Linked DNA regions of Anolis sagrei. The protein of the gene in region 4 interacts with the protein of the main gene of each other region in a pairwise test. Links are inferred from orthologs where the notes say so. Each region holds a gene or a part of one and is shown on either strand. Other genes may lie near its edges.

The links.
Region 1: the proteins of TRIP6 (region 4) and HOXA1 interact in a two-hybrid assay, tested with the Homo sapiens proteins (2 studies listed by BioGRID and IntAct). The two-hybrid records come from large-scale screens. The link is inferred for Anolis sagrei from reciprocal best matches to the Homo sapiens genes TRIP6 and HOXA1.
Region 2: the proteins of TRIP6 (region 4) and HOXA9 interact in binary tests that used the Homo sapiens proteins (3 or more experiments, as listed by UniProt). The two-hybrid records come from large-scale screens. The link is inferred for Anolis sagrei from reciprocal best matches to the Homo sapiens genes TRIP6 and HOXA9.
Region 3: the proteins of TRIP6 (region 4) and OIP5 interact in binary tests that used the Homo sapiens proteins (3 or more experiments, as listed by UniProt). The two-hybrid records come from large-scale screens. The link is inferred for Anolis sagrei from reciprocal best matches to the Homo sapiens genes TRIP6 and OIP5.

The regions. Positions count from the first base shown.
Region 1 is NC_090026.1:91,199,007-91,206,438, forward strand, and holds HOXA1 (homeobox protein Hox-A1), read left to right. Parts: upstream 1-4,426; 5' UTR 4,427-4,533; coding exon 4,534-5,212; intron 5,213-6,478; coding exon 6,479-6,834; 3' UTR 6,835-7,416; downstream 7,417-7,432. UniProt on the Homo sapiens protein: Sequence-specific transcription factor. Regulates multiple developmental processes including brainstem, inner and outer ear, abducens nerve and cardiovascular development and morphogenesis as well as cognition and behavior.
Region 2 is NC_090026.1:91,096,940-91,104,200, reverse strand, and holds the start of HOXA9 (homeobox protein Hox-A9), read right to left. Parts: upstream 3,010-7,261; 5' UTR 1,430-3,009; coding exon 808-1,429; intron 1-807. UniProt on the Homo sapiens protein: Sequence-specific transcription factor which is part of a developmental regulatory system that provides cells with specific positional identities on the anterior-posterior axis.
Region 3 is NC_090021.1:288,820,650-288,828,086, reverse strand, and holds the start of OIP5 (protein Mis18-beta), read right to left. Parts: upstream 3,011-7,437; 5' UTR 2,983-3,010; coding exon 2,673-2,982; intron 277-2,672; coding exon 210-276; intron 1-209. Other genes in the region: NUSAP1 (nucleolar and spindle-associated protein 1), read left to right, coding at 5,637-5,732. UniProt on the Homo sapiens protein: Required for recruitment of CENPA to centromeres and normal chromosome segregation during mitosis.
Region 4 is NC_090026.1:4,966,564-4,973,613, forward strand, and holds the start of TRIP6 (thyroid receptor-interacting protein 6), read left to right. Parts: upstream 1-4,036; 5' UTR 4,037-4,188; intron 4,189-7,050. UniProt on the Homo sapiens protein: Relays signals from the cell surface to the nucleus to weaken adherens junction and promote actin cytoskeleton reorganization and cell invasiveness. Involved in lysophosphatidic acid-induced cell adhesion and migration.

The DNA.
Region 1 (7,432 bases), about 86 Mb from region 4:
TTTCCTCTCGCTATTCCAAGTACCTCAACTTATATTGATCTCTCCCCCCTCCCAATTAAAAAAAATCCCAATACACCCCCTCCTCAATTCGGAGATAGGAAGGCAAAGTCTATTGTTAGGTGCATGAAAATGCGTCCAGAACAACAAGGCAACAAAGGAGGATGTGGGGACGTGTTGCAGGTCTATCTGGAGCTTCCAGTTGGGAGCAAAACTTTGCTTGCTCCGCCATCTCCAGAGGCACCAGCCTCAGCTCCCCCCCCCAACCCTTTCTCTTCTCTCCTGCTCTATCTACCCCCCCCCCCCCGCCTCTACATCTCGATGTGTCCCCCCTCCTTGCATTGTGGTGAGCGGAGAGGATTGTGTAGGCCTCGGAATGCAAAGCGCTGGGCCACAGACAGTCTAACAAAAGGGAAAGATGTCTTCGGAACAATGGCGGAGAAACGAGGGAAAGTGGTGGAGGGGCTGGCGATGGCAGGCCTGGAGAGGGGGGAAGAGAAGGTTTGGAGGGGAAAAGATGGCCTGAATAGATAGATAACGAAAGAAACTAGGTCGGGAGGCAAAGAAGGAGATGATATATAATTATAGAGGAAGATGGAAAGAAGCTGCAGTAAGAGCAGGCCCATTCATGAATGTGAGGCAACACACTGGTAAATCTGCTTTAAGAGAAAGGTAAAGGTTTTCCCCTGACATTAAGTCCAGTCGTGTCCGACTCTGGGGGTTGGTGCTCATCTCCATTTCTAAGCCGAAGAGCCGGCGTTGTCCGTAGACACCTCCAAGGTCATGTGGCCTGCATGACTGCATGGAGCGCCCTTACCTTCCTGCCAGAGCTGTACCTATTGATCTACTCACATTTGCATGTTTTCGAACTGCTAGGTTGGCAGAAGCTGGGGCTGACAGTGGGAGCTCATTTTCTATTGCTTTAGCCAGAACTAATAACAAAAATTCAGATTCCAGAGTGTTAAGGTGGGTGAAATGCGATGTCTAGCCTTTCCCCTTTTTTTCTTAACGTCCCCTTTGGCCCAAAATCTCCAAACAAAACATCAAACGCGATTGATTTTAGCCCATGTGTTAATTTTCTCTTCCTGGCCTAGCATGAAACAACATTTCACTCCAAATCCAGCTTCTGAACTGCATGAAAAGTTGTGCTTATTCTTTCCCAGTGCTCTGGATGTTTCTACCAATGACATGGCGAGGAGGCAGGGACCAGGGGAACCAAGGAGACCATTGAGAAATGGGGCACTCTGTCAAGCTCCTCCTTCAGTCAACAGAGCCATGGAGAATCCGTGCTTTCTTGCTGTTTTTTTTCTGTCTGAGAGCAAAATCTGAGCACTGGGTGCAGGCAGGGGCTTTCAGCCAAAATTGAGTATTTTCCCCCTTAAAATCCCATCTGCTACAAACTGGAGTTTAGCTCTACCAAATAAATAAGGGAGACTTACTTCCTGTAAACATCCAGGAGAATGCTTGTGCCCAGATCCTATATATCAGGCCTAGACCAACTTGGGCCCTCCAGGTGTTTTGGACTTCAACTCCCACCATTCCCACCATTCCTAACCATTCCTAATAGCCTCAGGCCCCTTCGCTTAAGCGGCTGAGGGGGGAAAGGAAGGGGCCTGAGGCTGTTAGGAATGGTGGGAGTTGAAGTCCAAAACACCTGGAGGGCCCAAGTTGGCCCTGGTCTGAATTATATATACTTGACTGAATCTTGATTTTGATTGATAGGGATCCAAACCTGAAACCACTTCAGGAAACAGCCCCAATCTGGATTGGTAGCTTGGAGAACTACTGAGTGGCCGAATGCGCATGCGCAGATGCCTTTACGCGCAGACCGGCACGTACACGCATGCTCCAATGGATGGAACATCCCAGCAAACAACCCTCCATACAACAATGTCAACTTGCTCTTCGGGTTCATTTCAACTTTGCCCTAGGAATACACTATGCAAAATAAGAGCCTTTGCTAAACTAAACCTTGCAATTTTCGCCTCTCTCTCCAGGCAAAGTTCTCCAAGAAGCAGAGCTTACTCCTCACTGTATCCCTTGTCTCCTCTCCAGTCAAACCACCAGGAACCTTATCCCTCGCCCCCATGTTATGTCCTTTAGGCTCACCTTGCTTTTCAGATTTCAGATTTAACTTGAATGCTAAGCTCCCCCTCCGCATGCTTCGATAGGCCATATCTTTTTTCCATCTTTTTATGTGTAAACAGTAGGTCCCTGTGTTGTTGAAGGCTTTTGTTGCCAGAATCTCTGGGTTGCTGTGAGTTTTCCGGGCTGTATGGCTATCTCTCATGTTTCTGGAACATGTCAATGAGCCGGGGAAACTCACAGCAACCCAATAGGACCCTGTTTTCCCTTTCAGCAAGTTCCTAACCCATAGAAAGCCACCTTTCTTTAGACTCCTTTCAGGTCCGTAGCCAGGATTTTGATGCGGGGGTGGGTGGAGTGGGGCTCAGTTTGATTGGGGGGGGGGGCTGAGTTTGATGGGGGCTGGGGGAGTTGAGGATCTACCCTAGCAAACCTTTTGTATCATTATCCCAATACCCCCATGCATATGGGATATATTGAGCATGGTGATCAGATATGAATAAACATAACAGTTTAAATAATGTACCAGTAAGGCCTTCTCGCAGACCACCCTGAGAATTTCGGGGGGGGGGGGGGGCTGAAGCCCCTAAAGCCCCCTCCCCCCTTACATGCTTCCTCCTTTGATTTCAGTGAGTGAAATGGGGGACTTTCACACTGGGAAAAGACAGAGCTGGGAAACAATTACCAGGGGAACTACTGAGGCTGCTTCCAACGTCCCAGCATTGAATAACACAATCCCCAAATCTAGGGAACCTTTGATTTCAGTGCCTGGCGTCCACGAAGCCCCACCGAAGGGAAACAGTTCTCAAGTGACCAAAGGAAGCCCCCCCCCCTTCCATTGTTAAGTCTCCTCCCCCTAATTTCTAAGTCTGTCATCCAGTGTTGGTGTTTTCAGTCACAAATACCCTTTTAATGGGTTGTTGTGTGTTTTCCGGACTGCATAGCCACGTTCTAGAAGCATTCTCTTCTGACGTTTTGCCTCCATCTATGGCAGGCATCCTCAGAGGTTGTGAGGCCTGAGGATGCCTGCTATAGATGCAGGCAAAACGTCAGGAGAGAATGCTTCCGGAACGCGGCCATACAGCCCTGAAAACACACAACAACACAGCTTCTCGTTCTCTGTATCATTAGCCATTGGTTTGCAATGGGTAGACTGCAAGGCTGCAATTTGCTATGTCCCCTATCCCAACGAGAGGAAAATACATGTGCTTTAAACAGTCCTCACAACCTTTTAGGATGCCTGCCACAGATGCAGGCGAAACGTCAGGAGAGAATGCTTCTGGAACGTGGCTACACAGCCCGGGAAACACACAACAACCCAGTGATTCTGGCCATGAAAGCCTTAGACAATACAATACCCTTTTAGTTTCCAAACAGTGCATATGAGAGGGCAGGAAAGGACGTAGAGCCAGGCAGAGGCAGTTCCTGAGAGAGGCAGAAGGAAGGAGGGAAGAGGGAGGAGAGGAAGGAAGAGAGAAGGAGAAAAAGGCAGGGAGGAGCAGAGAAAGGCAGAGTTTGCACAGGCGCACTGAGGGCTCTGCAAACGCGGGCCGGGGAACCAGCTGCCTTGGCAACCCTTTGTAAGCACTTCCTCCAGCAGCCAAGCGGAGACGGATCGCTTCAAAGGCGGAGAGATGGGGGGAATGGAGAAACCTTGACTCCAAACCCACCCCACTGTCTCGCAGAGCCCCCCCCCCCAAACATCCAGCCCTCCGCCCGCAAAGGCACAATGGCGTTGCTTGCTTCATTCCCATGCAAATCATCCTTCCCTCGAGGAGGCTGGACCTACCAGCCCCGTTTTAACTCTTGCTCTGCGGAGGCGCCCGGGGTTTGGTTGGTGCCCCGCCGGAGATCACATCCATCCCCCACGGACCCCTTTCTTTCTCCTATTGACCCATTCACGCACCCACTGCTGGGTCCTTCTCCTCCATCTCCTTCCTTAGGTCTTGGTGCTAGAACCAGATCTGGTGCTGTCTGGGAAGAGAGAGAAGGAGGCGAGGCTGGCCCTCTACCGCCCCCACGCCTGGCTTCCTGGGCTTACCTGCTTGGCCGGGCTCTCCCCGCTCTGTCCCTCCCGCGGCGGGCGGGCGAGGATGGTCTCTCAGGCAGGGCGCCTGGGCTGGCTCTCCAAGCAGCCCAAGGCATTGACTGAGGATGGGCGAGGAGGAGGAGGAGGAGGAGGAAGAGGAGGAGGGGGGAGCGAGGGAGGTGTTGGCTGCGCGTCACCTTGACGGAGCAGCGCTCGGAATTTAAATGCCACCGCCAGGGCGATCCATCAAACAGGAAGGGACCGGGCCACGCTGGCAGGAGGCGCCGCTATTGGCTGCCGCCCTCACGTGGCCGCCTCCCGACTGTACATTCATATCATTTTTCTCCGGGGCCCCCATGGAGGAAGTGGGGAAGTTGGCACGGGCACCCGGGACTCCCAGCAGCCGGTGATAGATGGACTAGATGGACGCGGCGAGGATGAGTTCCTTCCTCGATTACCCGCCCATCCTCAACGGAGGAGAGCCCGCCACTTGCTCCCCCCGCGCCTACCACCACCACCATCATCCCCACCACCACCACCGCCACCACCACCCCGAGCATGGGGCCACCGCTAGCACCACCTTCCCGTCCTGCGCGGTCAGTGCCAACGGCTGCAACGGGGACGAGCGCTTCCTGGTGTCCCGAGGGGTGCCGCTCAGCCCCCATGCCCACCACCAGCCGGGCCCCGCCTACCAGCCTCACCCCGGCCTGGGCATGTCCTACCCGCACCCGGGCTACGGGGCACAGGGCTTCGGCGCCGGGGGCTACGGGCCCCACTACCCGCTGAGCCCCGAGGCAGAGGTGAACGCCGGGTACCCCCAGTGCGCGCCCGGCCTCTACTCCGGGAACGTCTCCTCCTCGCCCTCGGTGGTGCCCCACCCGGCGCAGGGCTACGCGGGGGCCGCGGTGGGCTCGGCCCCCTACCTCCAGCCCCCCTATGGAGAAGAGCAGCAGGGACTGCCCTTGACCAGCTATGGACACCCCTTGTCCCCTCTCCAGTCCAGCCACCAGGAACCCTGCGGCTCCCCCTCAGCTTCCGAGACCTCTCCTCCGGCCCAGACTTTCGACTGGATGAAAGTGAAGAGGAACCCACCCAAAACAGGTGAGTCACCGTCCCCATTAGTCGGGCTGGAAAGACATGAGAGAAGGATCCCATAGGATGGTAAAATATCCTCTGCAGACGGCCCATTCTCTCACACGATTTAAAAAGTCGGGCTGGAAAAGTTGGAAGTGCCAAACTTTCTTCTGCTCTTTCTTTCATTATTTCGAAATAGACCACTAGCCACCAGACCAGACCCAAATAGACTGAAGAAGAATTAGAGTTGGGTTCCTGAAGCTGGGCGATTAGCTTGCAAGGGGGACATGTTCTGATTTGGGGTTCTAATTGAAAGACAACTATTTTGGAAAGGGGATTTATCCTCCCATCAACTGCTCTTGGGGCTTCGAATTGAAATACTCAACTTTGAGGTCCATAGGTGTTTATTTATTCCTTCCACGAGGGTGGTAAAACATTAAACATCCGGGAGTTTCCTGGCTAACGTCCTTGCAGACGGCCAATTTTTTTTCACACCAGAAGCAACGTGCTGTTTCTCAAGTCATTCCCTTTGGGGTCCTAACAGCAACCAATTCTCTGGTGTCCTATCATCTCAAGAAGTTAGTCTCAGTATAAGTGGGGAGTCTTTGAGCAAACAAAGTCAGAACTGGCCCAGAAAGTTTCTTTCAAGGTGACAGGTATAAAGGCCTTGTCTCTTAATACCTGTCACCTAGAGCTTTGAGGAGCCCGGGGTAGTGCAATGGGTGGCACAATGGGTTCGAATCTGGGGAGAGGGCTGAGCTCCCTCTGTCAGCTCCAGCTCTTCATGCGGGGACATGAGAGAAGCCTCCCATGAGGATGGTAAAACATCAAACATCCTGGTGTCCCCTAGGCAACGTCCTTGTAGACAGCCAATTCTCTCACACCAGAAGCGACTTGCAGTTTCTCAAGTCGCTCCTGACACAAAAAAGAAAAAGAAACCTTGCATCTTGTGGTGTCCACCCTCCCCTTTGCTGGCAGGACTGAAGACTGACAGGTCTCAAATTCGAATCTGGGGAAAGCGCGGATGAGCTCCCTCTGTCAGCTCCAGCTCCCCATGTGAGGACAAAAGAGAAGCCTCCCAGAAGGATGGTAAAACATCAAAACATCCGGGCATCCCCTGGGCAACGTCCTCGCAGACGGCCAGTTCTCTCACACCAGTAGCGACTTGCAGTTTCTCAAGTCGCCCCTGACACAGAAAAGAAAAAGAAACCTTGCGCCTTGTGGTGTTCACCCTCCCCTTTGCGGATTGCGGTTGCCTTATTGTTCTTGTTGTCTTTTTTTCTTTTTCTCCAGGGAAAGCGGGCGAGTACGGCTACGTGGGTCAGCCCAACACGGTCCGAACCAACTTCACCACCAAGCAGTTGACGGAACTGGAGAAAGAGTTCCACTTCAACAAATACCTGACCCGGGCCCGGAGGGTGGAGATCGCGGCCTCTTTGCAACTCAACGAGACCCAGGTCAAGATCTGGTTCCAGAACCGCAGGATGAAGCAGAAGAAGCGGGAGAAAGAGGGCTTGCTGCCCATTTCGCCGGCCACCCCGACCGGAAGTGAGGACAAAGCGGAGGAGTCTTCGGAGAAGTCCAGCCCATCCCCGTGCACCCCCTCCCCGGCCTCCTCTACCTCAGACACTCTGGCTACCTCCCATTGAACTAAACGGGACCCACTCCCCAATCCTCGAAGGCACAATCCTTGCGTCGTTTTTTTTCTAGATTGGGTTCAGAAAGGCTTTAAACAAAAAAACTATACATTTCCTCCCTCCGGGTAGTTTTATGTCTCCACTGGCACTAAGATGTCAGAGGGGGGAACCAACCCCGCGAGATCCTGAACTTCTTCACTCTGGAAGCCAATCCCCTTGATTTCAGAGGACTTTCTTCCCCCTCCCCCTACAAATCGGTACAACGTTTAATCTCTTCCCAAAACCAAGGAAGAGAGCCAGAGTTGTGCAGTGAGCCTTTCACCACGATTTTAGAGACCAAGGCTGGATCAAGGAAACCCACAGGGTGACCTTGGGCGAGTCACACTCTCTCAGCCCTAGAAAAAAAGGCACATAACAAGGACAACTAACAACTGCAACAGCCAAGGAAAGTAATGTGGTGAGGCTTAGTTAGAGACTAACTGGAACCTCATTGATTTCAGTAGGATTTCGTTAGGATTGGTTTACTACCTTTGAATAAGTTCGGTAATGGGTATCCACAATCCCCTTTATTATTATTATTATTAGACTAAATTTCCTTCCTCAATTTTTA
Region 2 (7,261 bases), about 86 Mb from region 4:
CAAAGCAGTTTGAACTGCATTACATGATCAGTGTAGAACTATACTATGCAGCTTGGATTGAATTATATGGTCAGTGCAGAAACTGTACAATGCAACTTGAGTCGTGTAGAAACTATACTATACAGTTTGAACTGCATTATAAGCTCAATGTTAAACTATGCAATGCAGCTTGATCTGATCATTATATGATCAGTGTAGAACTATACTATGCAGCTTGAACTGAATTATATGGTCAGTGCAAAAACTATACATTGCAACTTGAACTGCATTATATTCTTAGTGTAGAAACTATACTATGCAGCTTTAATTGCATTACATAGTCAGTACAGAAAGTAAACAATGCAGCTTGAACTGCATTATAAGCTCAATGTAGAACTATACAATGCAACTTTAATTGCATTAAATGCTCAGTGTTGAGACTATACAATGCAGTTTGAACTGCATTATATAGTCAGTGTAGAAAGTATATAATGCAGCTTGAACTGCATTATATAGTCAGTGCAGAAAGTAAATGCAGCTTCAACTGCATTATATAGTCAGTGTAGAAAGTATACAATGCAGCTTGAGCTGCATGGCTCTACACTGATTGTCGGGCAGTGTAGCACCAGCCAAACATGACACAACTAAAAACAGAGCAAATGCATTGATATGAATATATAAAAATACAAAACCAAGTGCAAATGGTATGAAAATGCACTTCAAACTACCTTGAACACCCTTCTTTCTCTCCCTGCCTGCCAGCCATCCAGCCCAAGAGGGATCTTCCCTGCCTCCGTGCCCTCTCCCTTCCCAGTGGGTCCCACTTACTGGGGTCGATCTGGTTCTTGTCCCCTCCTGCTCCTCCTGCTCCGGCCTCGCTCTCGGCGTGGCTCTCGGCGAAGGGCGGCCCGTCTCCGGGGGTCTTCTCCCGTTCAGCTGAGGGGGAACCACAGGCATAGTCAGTGAGGGGGAGGGCGTTGCTGTGCGGCTCGAAGGCAGTGCGGCAGTCCCCCCGCCGGGCCGGGAGCGGCTCGGGCTTGATGCCGTAGGGCCGGCCGGGCGGCGGCAAGGCGGGGAAGGCCAAGGAGCCGCCGGGCAGAGGCTCCAGCCAGGAGCGCAGGTACCTGCTGCCGTCGGGGGCGGCGGGCAGCGGGGGCGGATGGTGCACGTAGGGGTGGTAGACGTGGCCGGAGCCCGGGGGCGGCGGAGGAGGCGGAGGCGGGTGCGGAGGCGGCGGGGCGGCGCTCCAGGAGGCCGAGAAGACCGAGGAGGCCTTGGCCTGGAAGCTGCAGGCCGAGAAGTCGGCGTGCTCGGGGGCCGCCCCTCGGGAGCCCACTTGGCCCAGGGGCAGCGAGCCGTAGCGCGCCGCGGAGGGGCCCAGCTCCTCGCCGCCTTCGTGGAGCAGGAAGGAGTCCACGTAGTAGTTGCTCAGCGTCCCCGAGGAAGTCATGGCCCGGGCGGAGGAGGGAAGGGAAGGGAGGAAAAAGAAGAGAAGGGGGAGAGAGAGAGAGAGAAAGGAAGGAAGGAGGAGAGAGAGGCAAGACCCGGCGAAATTATGAAACGGCAGATTTCATGTCACAACTTGGTCCTGGCGAAGAAGTACAGTCACCTAATAAGTTGAAGGCGGCCGGGGCCTCTGATTGGCTGCCGCGCCTCACGTGGCCGGGCGGCAGAACAATAAAGTATAAATCAGTCCGCAGGCTATTAATGGGTCAGTGTTTTCGAGTCATCATTTTTTATAGCTCAGCCTTAGGAATTTTTTTAATGTAAAGGGGGCGAGTTGGACGAGCAAACTTTGGGTTTTTGTGGCATGCAAATAAGATTAAAAGATTAGGGATTTTTTTTCAGGAGGGGGAGGGGGAAAGGGGAGGGTGGGTCTTGCCCTCCTTTAAAAGAGGGGACTATTTTATATCATAATTAATCATCCCATCAAAGGTTGGCGTTTGGAGAATCCAAGAAAGGAGAGGAGAAAAAAAAAACTAAGACAGGCTTCCCTTATTTTATTTTTATTATTATTATTAAGTGATGGGAGACCTTCACATAAAATTATACAATAATGGAAGCCATAAAAATAAAGAAAAGGAAAATAACATTGGGCGGGCGCACTGTATTTAAATCTATATTTATTCTATTTCATACATAAGGAGTTATTGTCTCGGGAGCCACCAGGTTGTTATTAAGTCAGTAACGACGAGCATATTCATTTGCATCGCTGTGTTTCGCGGCAGTAAAAATTTACGAGTGCACTGGAAAGGTTAAATTATACTATTGTGTTGTACTTTGGGAAGCTGTACTGTAAATAATACTGTGCGGCTGAGTTCAGAGCGAACGGGAGGCTGGCAAGGCGAAAAGTCAAATCCAAGAGAAGAAGCCTGTCTCCCTCGGATCTGCCTCTTTTCCTCTCACGCGCCCGAACAGACGAGGAGAGAGGAAAGCGGGGGGGGGGGCACAAGAGGGGGGTTTGGGGCTCTTTATGGGGCACCTTGAGAGCCAAGGGTCGTCGGAGACACAACGGGGAGCCCTTCCCACGAACCCACATTTCCAGATCCACTCCAACGCCGTGTTTCTTGCCCCCCTCCTTCAGGGAAACTCCAGCAGCGGGTTGCACGCTGATCCATTGACATTCTGACACAAACACTCAGCTTTGGAAGCCAGATATACACATATATATGTGTGTAGTATTTCCAAATGCTATAATATATATATTTGGGGGAAGTAGGCTTCTTCATGCACGTGGACAAAGAAAAAAAAAGACTGGAAAGGGGGAAAGCAGAGCAACATGGACGTTTGGAGGGCAAACCAAAGAGACCCACCCACCCGCCTCGATCAAGTTGACTGCAGAGGGGCTTCTTGGTATGTGAGCCCTCCTGCCTCTTTCCTCTTCTGTCTGGAGAGGAGGAACCAGAGCCATGCTACCGCTGGGGAAGACTATATATGTATGGATTGGGTCGGGGAGGGGGTTAGTAATGCTTCCCCATCCCGTCCTCTCCTGGAGAACCTTCCTGAACCATGTCTGGATTGGAGAGCCCCCCCCCCTTGGCATCCGCCCCCCTTTCTCTGGCATTGCTTTCTCCAAGCAAACAGATCTTAGAAGGTCTGAATACTTATTGTTTCCCTGGCACTTTCTATGGGGCTTCTGGGAGCAATATGGGGACGAGGCGGAGGGTTATAGTCTCTCTACCCCCAGAATCACAACAACAACAACAATAAAAGGATATGGCCCTCCGATCAAGGCCAGTGTTGTGAATTAAAGTAATGGGGGAAATACTCAGTGGCTGTGACATTTGAAGGCTTTGTCTTCTCGGTGGATTCCTGTGGTTTTATTTTTGTCCTTTCTATTATTATTATTTTCTCTTTTCTTCTTTAGCTGTTGCTTTTGGGAATCACAAACGGAGCTCAAGAGTGGGGTGAGGAAGAAAAGGGTTCTTTTGTTTTTAGTCTCAAACAGCGGCGTTATTCAGTCTAGAGGCTGTCTAATAGTAAGAGAATCGTGTGTTAATTAGATTCGTGTGTGAATATTCCTGGTGCAAAGCGCATGTTTTTCATTAGTCTACATTAATGTCTTTCCTCCTTGTGCTCCAAGAGGCCAATCTCGAATGAGAGAAACGGAATAGACACTTCTCCATTCTTAAAAATACCAGAATATTGAAGATTACACAAAGTAATTATCTGATCAGAAATAAAAGGGCTCAGGAGTTGCTGATAATAATCTCCCCTACCTACACACGCAAAATAACGTTTCCCAGAAGACTTGAGTAGCTACTATAGTTACTTTCGTGAGATAATTGGAACTATTTGTGTCTGCATAGAGATAGCGGCAACAAAAATACAACAAGCACATGTATCGTGTTATGGGTTTGTGTCTTTCCTGGAAAGAGGGGAAGCCTTGCGTCATTTTTTGTTTAAAATCGAGAGTCAGCTGTTGTGAAATATGTTCACAGAACTTCCTTCCTCCTTGAAGGAGAGAAAATAATCTTAACAGCAGGATTCCTCCCATGTTTTCTTTATTGCATTTCGTGTTTCGGAAATGGCAGCAGATTTTCATTTCTGATTAGGGAGAATCAGGCTCGATTGACTACATCAGAATAACACAATAATCTCTCTGTACTCCTGAACAAAGACAGTTCAAGTATCTAGAGGGGAGAAAAGTTGGGTTGGAATTATAGAGATAATAAATAATCTGCGTGTTTCTTTCTCCTATGCAGAAATGTTATTTCCAAAGGGACTTGTATATTTCCAACTTGATTAATTTTCATGTAAGGACAGACACAGCATGGAAACAGAAGAAACGCGGGTCTACAGTTAAGCTTCATTTTCACTTAAATAAATATATTTTCACCTCAAGTGAATACATTTCTGGTCTTATCTTAAGGCAGCGGCTACCAGATATCGCCCCTTGCCCATAAATACAAATATTAGGGACTCCCAAGTAATAAGTAAGCGTATTTCCGGTTGTTGGTGACTTTTAAACAGCCTTATTTCCTTCCGGTTTGTATAATATTATATCAATTTCAACAGACTCCAATAGTCCTTCACAGCTCTCATATGTGTGTGTGTGTGTAAAAATATACTATTGAGTAAGTGTGCATGAAGGACAATACATATACACATATAAACATACATATACACATCTACATATACACACACTCAATACTATGTGTGTATATATGTATATATGTATATATATGTACACTATTGAGTGTGTGTATTATATATATATATATATATATATATATATATATATATGTTGAGAGATAGAGAGAAAGTGTGTGTGTGTGTGTATATATATATATATTTATATATCAGACCCACCAACTTTAGTGGGCCTTCTTGCTAAGTATGCAAAATTAGCAGCCTTACGGGTTTTATACTGTCACACCCAAGAGTTTTACATTTCTTAGCCTTAACTATTTTCTTTGAATTTTCTGCTAGAGCTATCACTGGAAAATTTTCATTCACGTTTAAATTACAGTAATAATTTTCGAGCTATATTCTTCTCTGAATTCGGCCTCACCGGTAAGCCAATGCCTATGAAATGTTTCCTTAACACACATAGATACAGGCGTTCTTGTTATTATATATATATATATATATATAGCCACTGAAATGTGTGTGTGTGTGTTTATATATATAGAGAGAGAGCCACTGAAATTTATTTATATATATATATATATAATTCACACACACACACACATATAGCCACTGAAATCTGGAGAAACCCTGAGCCAAAGGATATGCTATGCAAATTATGAAGGACTTCAATGGTATTTTTCCAAACAAAGAAATACATATTTGTTTCAGCTCCACAATGGAGTAAACACCCAATACTAGGAGCCTGTATACCTAAACTTGAGTTTTATTGGCGAGCCTATATATTTATGTATTTAAGAAAGCCCTTTACATTTAAAATCGAGCTTTTGACGCCTGAGTTTACAAACACTGGCTGGGGTTATATTAGAAGTGCATACTTATGGGCAGTGTAGACGCACATAACGTAGTTCAATGCATATTTTTGTGTTTTCCGGGCTGTATGGCAATGTTGCAGAAGCATTCTCTCCTGACGTTTCACCTGCATCTATGGCAGGCACCCTCAGAGGTTGTGAGATTGTGGGCCATACAGCCCAGAAAACACACAACAATCCAGTGATTCCGGCCATGAAAACCCTCGACAATACATTAGTTCAATGCACTTCAGACTGCCTGATGAGGGTCTACATTGGCCATATAACGCCACTCAAACTGCTTTGTCTGGAAAGTGTAGTTCCAGCCACAGGCATCCGCATTCCAACCGAAAAGCTCGACATTTCTGGGTGTCCCGGGCTTGGTTCCCAGTATACAACTGCACATATACACAACCCACTCGTTGCATTTACAATCCTAACAAAGCCTCCAAGTTTCCAAACAGACTGGCGAAAAGGCGTGCGAATCTGCTGCTCCCTCCTTTCCCCTCTTCCCAGAAAAGGCCGAAAGCAGACCCCACGGCGGATATCCCCACATCCTCCCCGCCCTAGATCCCCGGAGAGGTCTTGTTCATTTGCACGAACGGTAAACAACGCACGTCTCCGGCGTAAACAAGGCTCTGCAGCGCCTTCGCTTCTCTCTCTCTCTCCCTCTCCGCCTCGCAGCTGCGGTTCCTGCCTTTGCTGCCGCCGTGGACAATAATGATCGTAACCGAGGCCTTGTGGGCGAGCGACGGGGAAATCCTGGCCTTGTTTTCCCGCCTTCTTTTCCCCTCCTTTCTCGCAAGGGCCCCGTCTTAATCCCTTCCTACAGAGGCCTCGGAGTTGCGTTGGAGGATATGTGTGCCTTGGAGAGGTAGAGGAGGGAAGAAGCAAGAAAAAGGGCTGCCTTGCCACCGCTGGAAACCAGGCGACCGAGGCGGGTGGGTGTGTTTGGCTGGCTTACCCTCCTCTCCCCTCCCTCCCTCCTTCTCCTCAGACACAATATAGCCCAATAAAATATAATGAGAACGAAGCAGCGGCTCGCAATCCGAGCTGGAGATGGCTCCCAGATTCCTTTGCTTTCTCTCCCGGCTGAGGGTTAGAAAGCAGGAAGGAAAGGAAGGAAAATGGCAGGGCAAGACAAAGGTAAAGATTGCTATGACAATCCAGACAAGCAGCAGGAAAGAAAAAGACCCTGCAAGAAGAAAAGGAGATGGGTTGTTGTGATTTTTCTGGACTGTATGACCATGCTCCAGAAGCATTCTCTCCTGACGTTTCGCCTACATCTATGGCAGGCATCCTCAGAGGCTGTGAGGCCTGTTGGAAACTAGGCAAATTGGGTTTATATATCTGTGGAATGTCCAGGGTAGGAGAAAGAGCTCTTGTCTGTTTGAGGTAGGTGTGAATATTTCAGTTGGCCACCCTGATTAGCATTTAATGGTTTATCAGTTTCAAGGTTTGGCTTCTTCCTGCCTGGGGGAATCCTTTGTTTCCATACAGGCCGGAAAACTCACAACATCCCTGTGATTCCTGCGTCCATGAAAGTCATCGACTAAACAAGGAAAGGAAAGATCATTCCCCTGCTACTGAAAAGCGCTCCTGACCTTGAAGGAAATCTGTATAAAAACTGTCTAAACCTAGAAGTCTCTTCCATTTTTTTTTCTTGAAAACTCTCCACTTTTGTCTCTTATTCAAAGCTGGAAAATATGAAATGTGGCGACTCTAACAAAGCCAGTCTAGAAAGGAGGGAATTTGAAACCCAGTGCCTACAGAAGTCAAAACAATGGCTTTGGAACTTGACGCCCCTCCAGAGGAGCAATTGTGGGGTTCCCTTATCCCAC
Region 3 (7,437 bases), on a different chromosome or scaffold from region 4:
TGCGCTTTCTTCTTTCACCTTGATTAGAAGGCTCCTCAGCTCCTCCTCACTTTCGGCCATCAGAGTGGTGTCATCTGCATATCTGAAGTTGTTAAAGTTTCTTCCAGCAATTTTCACCCCAGCTTTGCATTCATCAAGCCGCGCACATCGCATTAATCACTTAATTTAGCATGCATAAAAGAGAAGGAATAATTTCAAGAAATACCCACCATCCAGTAAGATCTCCTTCCACACAAACCATCAAATCATCTTCCACAACAATATCATTTGTGACTTCTGAAAGAGAAAAACATTTAAAAAAAATTAAACTCCAAATTTTCTGCTAACAGATTTAATTATATTGCATACAAAATGGCAGTTTTTTGATGTCTCGCACACCCTTAATATATCGTAGCTCCTCTACATTTACCGGTGTTAGTGGCACATAGTCTCAAAGTGGGGAAAATGCAAATATAAATTGCAAATGCTACTTTTTACTTGAAAGAAGACTGCTCTAGCCATTTGTGGGACCCACAAATGCCTAGACAGAAGATACCACATGTTTTTGGCTGTGAGTAGAACAAAAGAGGTGGCATAAATACAGCAATTTGCAAATACAGCAATGAAATCTGCAAATTAACTGATCTGAAGAGCTAACTGTATCCTTCTAATCATTGCATGCTGCTTAAACACTTGACAGGAAATCTGACTGCAGAAAAATCTCAGTACATTTGCTGAACAAAAAAGAAACAGGTGAACTATTTTTATATTGTTAGATGGCCAGGAACAAAACAAAACAAAAGGAAAGGAAAGCAAAGCAAATACAAAGTAGGAATGAGGTAGCCTTCAAGGAAGTATGAATGTAATTGGGCTGGGAATATTTTTGAGGGTGAATCTACACAAATCTGGCCTGCCATGTCTTTCTGTGTAGTCCTCCAGATGCTGGATGACAACTCCTGTATTCCTCTTCATTAGACATGATTGGAGCTGATGTTCAATGTGAAAAAGTAACACCTGTAAGGTTGCAGTCTGTCATTTTTAGTCAGAATGATGGTGCCTGAATTTAGATATATGGCTTGTGGATATGATATTCGACTTTAACCTTTGTCCTTTAACCTTTCTCCAACCCCAGAGCCACATGTGCTGTTGGGTTGCAATTCCCATTTTCCCCAATCTGCATGGCAGATATTCAAAAGTTTATCATTTAATAACATCTGGGGACAGAACCACATTAGTTAAAGTGGTGTCAAGCCTTACAGTTGTCTTCAATGGGCCTTTGAATCCATGGAGGGAGAACCTGGTGTAGATTCATATAATCCAGTTCAGTCTGCATTATATGAGTCTACACTGATCATGTAATGCAGATAAGGCTTCTGTCCTGGGAGAAAAGCAGGGTATAATAATAATAATAATAATAATAATTTAAAAATAGTCCGTACCTGGATGCAACTCAGAACAGAGATAAAGTTCAGGTTCACTAACTCCTATCCAAAATCCATGGGACTAGCAATGTTTTTTAAATAAGAATGTTTAAAGATCTTGGAATACTTGCAGATACATTTCGAGATATTTTGGAGATGAGACCCAAAGCCTGAACACAACATTCATTTATGTTTCATATACATCTGAGATACATAGCCTAATGTTTATACTAGGGTGATTTTATGCTTTGTCTGAATATTTAAATGTTATGTATTTATGTTTAATGGTTTAAGTTGATTTTAAGTTCATAGTTATATGTAGTAATTACTTAGTTATTATGATTTGTCTACTGTATGTTGGCAATGAATTTTTGCCATTAGTACGTTGTAAACTGCCTTGAGTCCACCCAGGGCTGAGAAACGCGGCATATAAATACAGTATACAAACTTACACAATCTCTCTGATCATCTGGAGAGGCCCTGCTCACGATTCCACCTGCGTCACAAGCGCGTTTGGTGGGGACGAGGGACAGGGCCTTCTCTGTGGTGGCCCCCCGACTCTGGAACTCTCTCTTTAAGGACATCAGACAAGCCCCAACGTTGGCAGTGTTTAGGAAGAGCTTGAAGACGTGGCTGTTCCAGTGTGCCTTCCCAGAATAGGAAACGCCTAGCATCATGTCCCAAATGCACATTATTAGAGATTTAAGATTGTCTGCACACAGCACCTATCTCCAAAAACCTATCCATTTCACCTGTCATGTCCAGCATTTTTTAAATTTTATTCATTACATTTGGCCTGGCCTTAGTTTTAAATGTGTTGTGGTGTTATTGTCTAATGTTTATTGCTTTCTTTTATGAGTTTACTAATTGTTGTATTGTTATGCTGTTGTTTTATTGATGTGTTGGGCCTTGGCCTCTTGTAAGCCGCACCGAGTCCTTCGTGAGATGTTAGCAGGGTATAAATAAAGTTAATAATAATAAATAAATAAATAAATGTGAGGATACAGGGGGCCAAATATATTTTTCACATAGTTGCTTTTCATTTTTAGCCCATTTGTTATTGAATAACAACGCCCATCACTTCTGATTCATTCATTCTACTCAAGTGAGTTCCAAACTCGTCCTCCAGGTTCCCAGAATTCCTGACCATTGGACAGGCTGGCAATAGCTTCTGGGAGTTGGAGGCCCAAGCACTGGAGGACCACAGGTTGTCCCCACTTGGCGTAGCGAGGATGCGCCCAACCTCCGCTCTCCCGAGCTAGGCGAACTCACTGAAGCAGGCGAGGAGGCGGAGCTTCTCCTCCTGGGCGCACAGGTGAAGCGAGTCCCCCAGCACGGCGCGGCAACTCCGGCATTGGTAGAGCACGCAGTCCTCCGGTCTCAGGCCCCGAAAGCCGGGGAGCCGCTCCCAGGCACCCTCGGGCCTCTTGCTTGGCGGCGGCGGCGGCGGGCTGGGGCCTTTCGCTACTCCAGGTCCTGCCCGCTCCACCATGATGCCGCCACCCACTCGGGGCTCCTGGAAGAGCAGCTGCAGTTGCCGACGCACCGCCATCTTGTTTTCCGCCAAACGTTCAAACCTCATCCCCCGCCAAGCACGAGCCCGCCTTCTTCCACCGTCATTGGCTGGAGCTGCCCGCCCACGTTTCCGTTAGACCTAATCCCCCGCTTTCGTTAAGCACGCGCCCGCCTTCTCCTCGCCCATTGGCCTACTTTGCGGCTTGACCCAATCGGGTTTCAAGAATATAACACAAAGCGGGGGCGCGGGCGGTTTAAAAACAATTTTATTTGGACGTTTCCGTGGCCCAGGCAGGCCTCGAAGCCAACGTCTCTTCGGCACTTGACCTCCCACGCAGAGGCCTGTCTTTCTCTCGTAAGACCTGCAGACTCGGTTGGAGAGGAGAGAGCGGCTCACAACATTCACCGTGTTCCTTTGGCATTTTGGTACTCTCTTGTGCTGTGTGCGCGCGTGTTTTTATATGTATAGGTAAAGGTAAAGGTAGTCCCCGTTTTATATGTATACATTTCTTTAAAAAGACTCCGGGTTGTTGAATCCCTTCTCAGTTCCCCTTTTCTTTCCAAAGGGAAAATATGACATGCATTTATCCCCCTTCCCGCAATTCTCCCGGAATTCGGCTTTCTTTCTCGATGCGCTGTGAAAAGCAGCAATTCGGTTTCAAAGTCACGTGGGTGGGCGCTAGATCCCAGCTCCTTTCTGATGTTTTTGGGAAGGCTTCATTGTGTTGATTTTAAACTGCGCAGCTTTGTGTTTGAAATGCCTCTCGGTGATTGATTTGGTCTCAAAAACGGTGGCGGTTTGGTTCCTTTCCTTTTGAAAGCCTGGCCCTCTTAACTCAGCTCTTTTTTTTTTTTTTACATTTATGCTTTGGCGTTGTCGAAGGCTTTCATGGCCGGAATCACTGGGTTGCTGTGAGTTTTCCGGACTGTATGGCCACATTCCAGAAGTATTCTCTCCTGATGTTTCACCCACATCTATGGCAGGCATCCTCAGAGGTTGTGAGATCTGTTGGAAGCTAGGCAAGTGGCGTTTATATATCTATGGAATGTCCAGGCTGGGAAAAATAACTTTTTTCTGTTTGAGGCAGGTGTGAATGTTGTAATTGGCCACTTTGATTAGTATACAATGCCTTTGCAGCTTCAAAGCCTGGCCGCTTCCTGCCTGGGGGAATCCTTTGTTAGGATACGCTAGCTGGCCCTGATTATTTCATGCCTGGAATTCCACAGTTTTCTGAGTATTGCTCCTTATTTACTGTCCTGATTTTAGAGTTTTTAAATACTGGTAGCCAGATTTTGTTCATATCATTGTTTGAAATAACAGACTGCCTTAAAAAGTAAAACAACAAACACTGGACCTGCCAAAGGTATGCAATCTAAAATGCGGTGTGGAGTAGATCCTTGGTATCTGCTGAGGTTTGGATCCAGGGCTTTCACTGACACTGTTGGAGGCAGGTGTGAATGCTGCAGTTGTCCACCTTAATTAGCATTTAATGGTCTTGTAGCTTCCAAGCCTGACCACTTCCTGCCTAGGGGAATCCTTTGTTGGAAGGTGATAGCTGGCACAAGCACAGTTTGGGAGAGAAAGTTAAAGACTAAAGCAGGGGACCTCAAACTAAGGCCCGGGAGCCGGTTGTGGCCCTCCAAGGTCATTTACCTGGCCCTTGCTCAGGGTCAACCTAAGTCTGAAACGACCTGAAAGCACACAACAACAACAATCATATCTCATCAGGCGAAAGCAGGCCCACAGTTCCCATTGAAATACTTATAAATTAATATTTATTAAAATTGTTCATTATTGTAATTATTGTATTGTTTTTAAGTGGTTTTTGAACTAAAATAAGATATGTGCATTGTGCATAGGAATTCATGTTTGTTTGTTTTTTTACATTATAATCCTGCCCTCCAAAAGTTTGAGGGACTGTGACCTGGCCCTCTGTTTAAAAAGTTTGAGGACCCCCGGACTAAAAGGTTGGAAGAAAGAACTCTTGTTCTTTCCACAGATATATAAACCCCATTTTCCTAGTTTCCAAGAGATCTTACAACCTTTGGCCACATCATGAGGAGACAGCAAAGCCTAGAGAAGACAATGATGCTGGGGAAAGCGGAAGGTAAAAGGAAGAGGGGCCGACCAAGGGCAAGATGGATGGATGGCATCCTTGAAGTGACTGGACTGACCTTGAGGGAGCTGGGGGTGGTGACTGCAGACAGGGAGCTCCAGACAGGGAGCTCTGGCGTGGGCTGGTCCATGAGGTCATGAAGGGTCGGAGACGACTGAACGAATGAACAACAAACCATAGATACAGGCGAAAAGTCAGGAGAGAAGGCTTCTGGAACATGGCCATACAGCCAGGAAAACTTACAGCAACCCATTCATGCTTTTGTCGCCGGTTGATTTTATTCCCAACCCCCGGAGGATTGGTCTCTCCGCCAACTGGAAGGGTTGGGAGCTCGGCTGTTTCCGTTCTCTTTCCGAAAATGTACGAGAAGCTTGGGGAAAAAAACCCTAGAAAAAAATAACCTTTTTGTTTTGTTTCGCTGGCTCACGCGAAGGCATCCTATTGGCCACGGGCCTCCTTCAGGCACCGCCCTCTTCCGCGAGCGTCCAACCAATGCCGCGCGACGAGTGAAGGTTTGAAGGGAGAGCGCGCGAGCGGCTTCGAGGCGCGGCAGTTGGGCGCGGAGCTTTCCTTCCTTCCCTTTGGTGGCTGGAGGCGCCCAGTCATGGAGGTTTCTCCCCCGGAGGAGCGGCTGGAGACGCTCAAGTACAGCGAGCTGCAGTCCCTGGCCAAGGCTCTGGGGCTGAAGGCCAATCTCAAGGTGAGAACTTAGGTCTACCCTTAGTTGTTTATGTTTCCCAATGAAAACGAATTTATAAATTGCTATCTGCGACTAAAATGATCAAGGGTCTGGAGAACAAGCCCTATGATTAGCGGCTTAAGGAGCTGGGCATGTTTAGCCTGAAGAAAAGAAGGCTGAGAGGGGATATGATAGCCATGTATAAATATGTGAGAGGAAGTCACAGGGAGGAGGGAGCAAGCTTGCTTTCTGCTTCCCTGGAGACTAGGACGTGGAACAGTGGCTTCAAACTATAAGAAAGGAGATTCCATCTGAACATGAGGAAGAACTTCCTGACTGTGAGCCGTTCAGCAGTGGAACTCTCTGCCCCGGAGTGTGGTGGAGGCTCCTTCCTTGGAGGTTTTTAAACAGGCTAGATGGCCATCTGTCAGGGGTTCTTTGAATGCAATATTCCTGCTTCTTGGCAGGGGGTTGGACTGGATGGCCCATGAGGTCTCTTCCAACTCTATGATTCTATGGGGAATGGCACAAAGATAACACTGAATTGCCTCAGGGAACTGAGTTTTGAACGGTACTTAGAATGACAGAGACTTCTAGTGCACACCCTTGAATTACTATAGCCATGGTACCTTGAGAGGTAAGGCGCGGATGTTGTGGAAATTATTAGCTGGTGGAACATTCTAGCAGAACTCTTTAGAGTGCATCTGCATTGTAAAATTAATCCAGTTTGATACCACTTTTAACTGCCATGCCTTAGTGCTATGTAATCCCGGGATTTGTAGTTTGTTGAGGTACCTTTTAAAACTACAGCTCCCATGATTCTATATAGTTGAGCCATGGCAGTTAACGCAGTCTCAAACTGCGCTAATTCTATAGTGTAGGTGCGACCGAAGAAACTGAAGGTTTTGTTCCTTTAAGCTAGGCATGGGCAAACTTAGGCCCTCCAGGTGTTTTGGACCAACTCCCACAATTCCTAACACCCGGTAGGAATTGTATGTTTTTACCCTGTTTCCCCTTCTGCTCCCTCACCCATATTGTGTTTTTAGTAGTTATATTTATATTTTTAATGTACCAAACATGCCAGGTTTGTATGGAAATGTGACACTATTTCCTGTGCTGGTCAATGACCGAAATAAATATTTTGAAAAAGTCCAAAACACCTGGAGCGCCTAAGTTTGCCCATGCTTGCTCTAAGAAAAGTCTTGAACTCGGTTTTTTAGAGATTTGATGGAGCTTGAGGTGATGCGGTTTGATATGGAATTGAACTGGAATTTGTAGTTCGGTAAGACACCAGCACTCTGGACCTTGCAAGGCTACAACTCCCGTGATTCCATAGCACTGAACCATGACGGGAAAAGTGGTGTCAAACTGCATTCATTCTACTTTGTAGGATTCAAATCAAAGAAGGCCAATGGCTTGGTTGTTGTCCTCTTGTTACTGTTAACCGCCCAACTATTGGGCTGATCCACTTGGAATGAGCCCACTTGTGTGTCTCCAGAGAAACCTCTCTTCTCCGCTGAAGTATAGGATGCCCATTTTCCATTTTGAACCTTAGAAACTCCTGTTGGGGTCCAAAGGGGCAGCAAATTGTTTTCTTCTGAATCAGTGCACCTCAGGCTTTTTGGTTAGCTGGTCTGCAGTTTTTGTTTGGGCTAGTTTTTGTCCCCATATTTCTTCCTCCTGTTAAATGCATTGTTTCTTTACTGGAAAATGGCTAGGCACTACA
Region 4 (7,050 bases):
AAGCAGAGAAAGCCTGGAGGTTAGTCATTTTGCTGGTATTTGTTGCCACTAAAGTTGCCTGGGCCAACTTGGGCCCTCCAGGTGTTTTGGACTACAACTCCCACAATTCCTAACCGCCTACCGGCGGTTAGGAATTGTGGGAGGTGTAGTCCAAAACATCTGGAGGTCCCAAGTTGGCCCAGGCTTGTGATATAATCATTCATTCAAAGACTCTAAAAGGCAATGGAGTCCGACCGGATAGGAAGGCACAATCCAATCCCTCCCAACAGATGGCCATCCAGCTGTAGATTCAAAAACTCCAGCTTATCCCACTCTCAGGAAGTCCTTCTAAAAGTGTGATATAACCATGCATTCATAGAGTTGGAAGATATTCTAAAAGGCCATCCAGTCCAACCAGGTAGGATGGCACAATCCAATCCCTCCCAACAGATGGCCATCCAGCTGTAACTTCAAAACCTCCAGCTTATCCCACTCTCAGGAAGTCCTTCCAAAAGTGTGATATAACTATGCATTCATAGAGTTGGAAGAGACTCTTAAAGACCACGCAGTCCAATCAGATAGGAAGGCACAATCCAATCCCTCCCAGCAGATGGCCATCCAGCTGTAGCTTCAAAACCCTCCATTCTATTCCACTCGGGAAGTCCTTCCAAAAGTGTGATAGAATCATGCATTCATAGAGCTGGAAGAGACTCTTAAAGTCACAATCCAATCCTTCCCAACAGATGGCCATCCATTCAAGACTTCTAGCCTATCCCACTCTCAGGAAGTCTTTCCAAAAAATGGGATGGAATCATGCATTCACAGAGTTGGAAGAGACTCTTAAAGGCCATCCAGTCCAACCAGATAGGAGGGCACAATCCAATCTCTCCCAACAGATGGCCATCCAGCTGTAGCTTCAAAACCCTCCATTCTATTCCACTCGGGAAGTCCTTCCAAAAGTGTGATAGAATCATGCATTCATAGAGCTGGAAGAGACTCTTAAAGTCACAATCCAATCCCTCCCAACAGATGGCCATCTAGCTGTAGATTCAAAACATCCAGGCTATTCCATTCCCAGGAAGTCCTTCCAAAGTGTGAGAGAATCATGCATTTATAGAGCTGTAAGAGACTCCTAAAGGCCATGCAGTCCAACCAGATAGGAAGGCATAATCCAATCCCTCCCAACAGATGGCCATCCAGCTGTAGCTCTAAAACATCCAGCTTATCCCATTCTCAGGAAATCTTTCCAAAAGTGTGACATAATCATGCATTCATAGGGTTGGAAGAGGCTCTTAAAGGCACAATCCAATCCCTCCCAACAGATGGCCATCCAGCTGTAACTTCAAAACCCTCCATTCTATTCCACTCTCAGGAAGTCCTTTCAAAAGTGTGATATAACCATGCATTCAGAGTTGGAAGAGACTCTTAAAAGCCATCCGGTCCAACCAGATAGGTCACAATCCAATCCCTCCCAACAGATGGCCATCTAGCAGTAGATTCAAAACATCCAGCCTATCCCATTCCCAGGAAGTCCTTCCAAAAGTGTGATAGAATCATGCCTTCATAGAGTTGGAAGAGACTCTTAAAGGCCATCCAGTCCAACCAGATAGGAGGGCACAATCCAATCTCTCCCAACAGATGGTCATCCAGCTGTACCTCCAAAACCTCCAGCTTATCCCACTCTCAGGAAGTCCTTCCAAAAGTGTGATAGAATCATGCATTCATAGAGTTGGAAGAGACTCTCAAAGGCACAATGCAATCCCTCCCAACAGATGGCCATCCAGCTGTAGCTTCAAAACATCTCCAGCCTATCCCACTCTCAGGAAGCCCTTCCAAAAGTGTGACATAACCATGCATTCATAGAGTTGGAAGAGACTCTTAAAGGCACAACATAATCCCTCCCATCAGATGGCCATCCAGCTGTAACTTCAAAACTCTCCAGCTTATCTCACTCCCAGGAAATCCTTCCAAAAGTGTGACATAATCATGCATTCATACAATTGGAGGAGACTCTAAAAGGCACAATCCAATCCCTCCCAACAGATGGCCATCCAGCTATATCTCCAAAACCCTCCATTCTACTCCACTCTCTGGAAGTCTTTCCAAAAGTGTGATATAACCATGCATTCATAGAGTTGGAAGAGACTCTAAAAGGTCATCTCGTCCAACCAGATAGAAGGGCACAATCCGATCCCTCCCAACAGATGGCCATCCAACTGTAGGTTCAAAACCCTCCATTCTATTCCACTCTCAGGAAGTCCTTCCAAAAGTGTGATATAACTACATTCATAGAGTTGGAAGAGGCTCTTAAAGGCTATTCAGTCCAACTATAAGATCACAATCCAATCCCTCCCAACAGATGGCCATCCAGTTGTACCTCCAAAAGCTACAGCCTATCCCACTCTCAGGAAATCCTTCCAAAAGTGTGACATAACCATGCATTCATACAGTTGGAGAAGACTTTTAAAGGCACAATCTAATCTCTCCCAACAGATGGCCATCCAGCTGTAGGTCCAAAACTCTCCAGTTTATCCCACTCCCAGGAAATCCTTCCAAAAGTGTGACATAACCATGTATTCACTGAGTTGGAAGAGATTCTAAAAGGCCATCCAGTCCAACCAGATAGGAGGTCACAATCCAATCCCTCCCATCAGATGGCCATCCAGCTGTAACTTCAAAACTCTCCAGCTTATCTCACTCCCAGGAAATCCTTCCAAAAGTGTGACATAATCATGCATTCATACAATTGGAGGAGACTCTAAAAGGCACAATCCAATCCCTCCCAACAGATGGCCATCCAGCTATATCTCCAAAACCCTCCATTCTACTCCACTCTCTGGAAGTCTTTCCAAAAGTGTGATATAACCATTCATTCATAAAGTTGGAAGAGACTCTAAAAGGTCATCTAGTCCAACCAGATAGGGGGACACAATCCAATCCCTCCCAACAGATGGCCATCCAGATGGCCATGAATTCATGGTTATATCACATCCAGTTGTACCTCCAAAAGCTATAGCTTATCCCTCTCTCAGGAAGGCCTTCCAAAGTGTGATAGAATCATGCATTCATAGAGTTGGAAGAGACTCTTAAAGGCACAATGCAATCCCTCCCAACAGATGGCCATCCAGCTGTAGCTTCAAAACTCTCCAGCCTATCCCATTCCCAGGAAGTCCTTCCAAAAGTGTGACATAACCATGCATTCATAGAGTTGGAAGAGACTCTTAAAGGCACAACACAATCCCTCCCAACAGATGGCCATCCAGCTGTAGCTCCAAAACCCTCCATTCTATTCCACTCTCAGGAAGTCTTTCCAAAAGTGTGATAGAATCATGCATTCATAGAGTTGGAAGAGACTCTAAAAGGTCATCTAGTCCAACCAGATAGGAGGGCACAATCCAATCCCTCCCAACAGATGGCCATCCAGCTGTAGATTCAAAAACTCCAGTTTATCCCACTCTCAGGAAGTCCTTCCAAAAGTGTGATAGAATCATGCATTCATAGAGTTGGAAGACTCTTAAAGGCCATCCAGTCCAACCAGATAGGTGGTCACAATCCAATCCCTCCCAACAGATGGCCATCCAGCTGTAGATTAAAAAACTCCAGCTTATCCCACTCTCAGGAAGTCCTTCCAAAAGGGTGAATCATGCATTCATAGAGTTGGAAGAGACTCTAAAAGGTCATCTAGTCCAACCAGATAGAAGGGCACAATCCAATCCCTCCCAACAGATGGCCATCCAACTGTAGATTCAAAATTCTCCACTCTATCCCATTCTCAGGAAGTCTTTGAGAAAGTGTGACACAATCATGCATTCATACAATTGGAGGAGACTCTTAAAGGCACAATCCAATCTCTCCCAACAGATGGCCATCCAGCTGTAGGTCCCAAACTCTCCATTCTATTCCACTCTCAGGAAGTCCTTCCAAAGTTCTGCCTCCCAGTTCATTCATTCCCTTCCCATTCATTCCCAATATCTCTCTTTTTCCTCCTCCTTCCTTCTATTTCTCCTCCCCAAATCTCCCCCCTCCCCTTGACCCTCCTCCCACCGGAAGTGGCAGGAATTCCCAGGCTCCACGTGACGCTTTGGAATGCGGTGACGTCATCCCCGGGGTCTGTGCCTCTCTCTCTCCATTGCCTTTTGCAAAAAAATAAAAATACAGGAAAGTTGGAAAGGAAGCAGGAGCAGGAGCGGAGGACCCAGGTGAGAGCAGGTAGGAAGGCTCTACTCTTGGAAAAGTTACTTTTTGCAACCAACAGCATGGCTAGGAGCGAAGGGTGTAATGGGGGGAAACTTCTCCCCCCCCAAAAAGAGTGGAAAAGTTACTTTTTTCCTCATTGCTAGGTTCTAGGAGACTTCGACCCTCAAAAAGTAACTTTTCTTAAGTTCTAATAAGACATCTCTTTGATCTGTTAGGAAACCTCTTTCTTCCTTCATTCCTCCAATAGAAAAGTAACTTTTGCAAGGTCTGATAAGAAATCCCACCTCTCTCCTACTTTTTTGGTGGTGTTGGGGTCTCCAAAAAGTAACTTTTCCAAGGCTGGTTGATTCTGAATGATTGTGGGAAGTTTCAGGCAAGAAAGTAACTTTAATCTCCTTCTTTCCCCCCCCCCCCCTCCTTTTTGGTGGTTTTGGGATACGAAAAAAAGTAACTTTTCCAAGGCCTGTTGATTCTGAATGATTGTGGGAAGTGTCAGGCAAGAAAGTAACTTTAATCTCCTTCTTCCCCACCCTTTTTGGTGGTTTTGGGATCCCAAAAAAGTAACTTTTCCAAGGCCTGTTGATTCTGAATGATTGTGGGAAATGTCAGGCAAGAAAGTAACTTTAATCTCCTTCTTTCCCCCCTCCTCCTCCTTTTTGGTGGTTTTGGGATCCCAAAAAAGTAACTTTTCCAAGTCCTGTTGATTCTGAATGATTGTGGGAAGTGTCAGGCAAGAAAGTAACTTCTTCCAGCCATTAGTGACCACATTCTGGTTTCTTCCCATTTCCTCCAAGCCATGCTTGAGTGAGGAGAGTAACTTGGAAAAAACTTGGAAAAAAGTAACTTTTCTAAAGTTCTAATAACCCTTGGATTGATAGGAAACCTCTCTCTTCCTTCATTCTTCCTACAGAAAAGTAACTTTTGCAAGGTCTGATAAGGAAACTTCTTTTTTTCCCCTTCCTCTTACGTTTTGGTGGTTTTGGGGTCCCAAAAAAGTAACTTTTCCAAGGTTTATTTATTCCAAGGTTTGTTTTTCCAGCATTTGTGACCACATTCTGGTTCCTTCCCATTTTCCCCAAGCCATGCTTGATTGAGGAGAGTAAAACTTGGAAAAAGTAACTTTTCCAAACTCTGACCATTCCCATTAATTTTTTCCATGCTGATTAAGGAGAATGCTGTCTTGGGGGACTATGGTCTAAAAACAAGTAACTTTCCCAAGCATCTCCTTTGCTGGCTGAAGATGTCTAGGGGCTGGAGACCAAAAAAGTAACTTTCCCAAGCTCTGACCATTCCCATTAATTTTTTTCCGTGCTGGTTAAGGAGAATTCTGTCTTGGGGGACTATGATGTTAAAAAAGTAACTTTTATGAGCATCCCTTTTGCTGGCTGAAGAGATCCTGGGGGCTGGAGACCCAAAAAGTAACTTTTCCAAAGATTCCTTTTGGGTTTTTTCCCCATGCTGATTAAGGAGAATGCTGACTTGGGGACTGTGGTTTTTAAAAAGTAACTTTTCCAAGCATCCCTTTTGCTGATTGGAGACCAAAAAAGTAACTTTTCCCAGCTCTGAATATTTGAAAGTATATTTTTATTGCTTTTTATTTCTTTGTGGATTGAATGGCGATGCAGAGAATATATGTCAATTAAATCATTTTAATTTAAAATATTGCATTATTTTAAATTAAAACGAATTAATTGACATATTTAGGTATTTATTATTATTATTATATACACATTGTTTATTTGAAATCCGAAATTAGATTAAACATATTTTTATTGCTTCTTAATTTTTTGTGGATTGAATGGCGATGCAGAAAATATATGTCAATTAAATCATTTTAATTTAAAATAAATTATTATTATTATGTACATTATATATATATAATATATATATTTAATACATAAATATGTCAATTAAATCATTTTAATTTAAAATAATGCATTATTTTAAATTAAAATGAATTAATTGGCATATTTAGGTATTATTATTTATTATTATTATTATTATTATTACACATTTTTATTTGAAATCCAAAATTAGATTAAACATAATTTTGGAAAAAAGGGTTCCCAAAATCCACAACGATCCACCTGGGTGGCTGGCTGGGAAAGGATTGTACGTACGCAGACGTTGTTACCTGTGCAAAATGATTTTTGCAAATATATGATAACATTACCTTCAGGCTACGTCTCGAAGGCGCATGGATGCAACATCAGTGCAATTTCATGTCTCGACTTGGGCCTGGGTTTGTTTATTATGTCTATGCAAATATTCCAAAACACATTTGCTCCCTGAGCATTTTGGATAGGCTCAGCTGATCCTGGGAAAGAATCAGAAGTCTTGGGGTGCATCACTCTATACCAGACCTGGGCAAACTTTGGCCCTCCAGGTGTTTTGGATTGCAACTCCCATCATTCCTAACAGCCTCAGGCCCCTTCCTTTTCCCCCTCAGCCGCTTAAGCGGCTGAGGGGGAAAAGGAAGGGGCCTGAGGCTGTTAGGAATGATGGGAGTTGCAATCCAAAACACCTGGAGGGCCAAAGTTTGCCCATGCCTCCTCTGCACTATAAAATTAATGCAGTTTGGTACCACTTTAACCGCTATGGGTAAATTACTATGGAACCCAGGGAGCTGTAGTTTTGCAAGGCCTTTGCAAAGGACAGAAAAAGAAGGGGATAAATCTCCATTTCCTTTCTATGTTTCTCCTAAAATGGATATATATCCACACACACACACAAACACAAGAGATGAGATATATAATTTGCTAGCTTTGCGGCTTTCAGGGTGTGTCAAAGAGCTTCTGCTTCTTTGTTTAGCGGAACTGAAACCAGACTTTTTCTGAGTCAGCCCTCCTCCAGATGGGTTGGACTACAACTCCC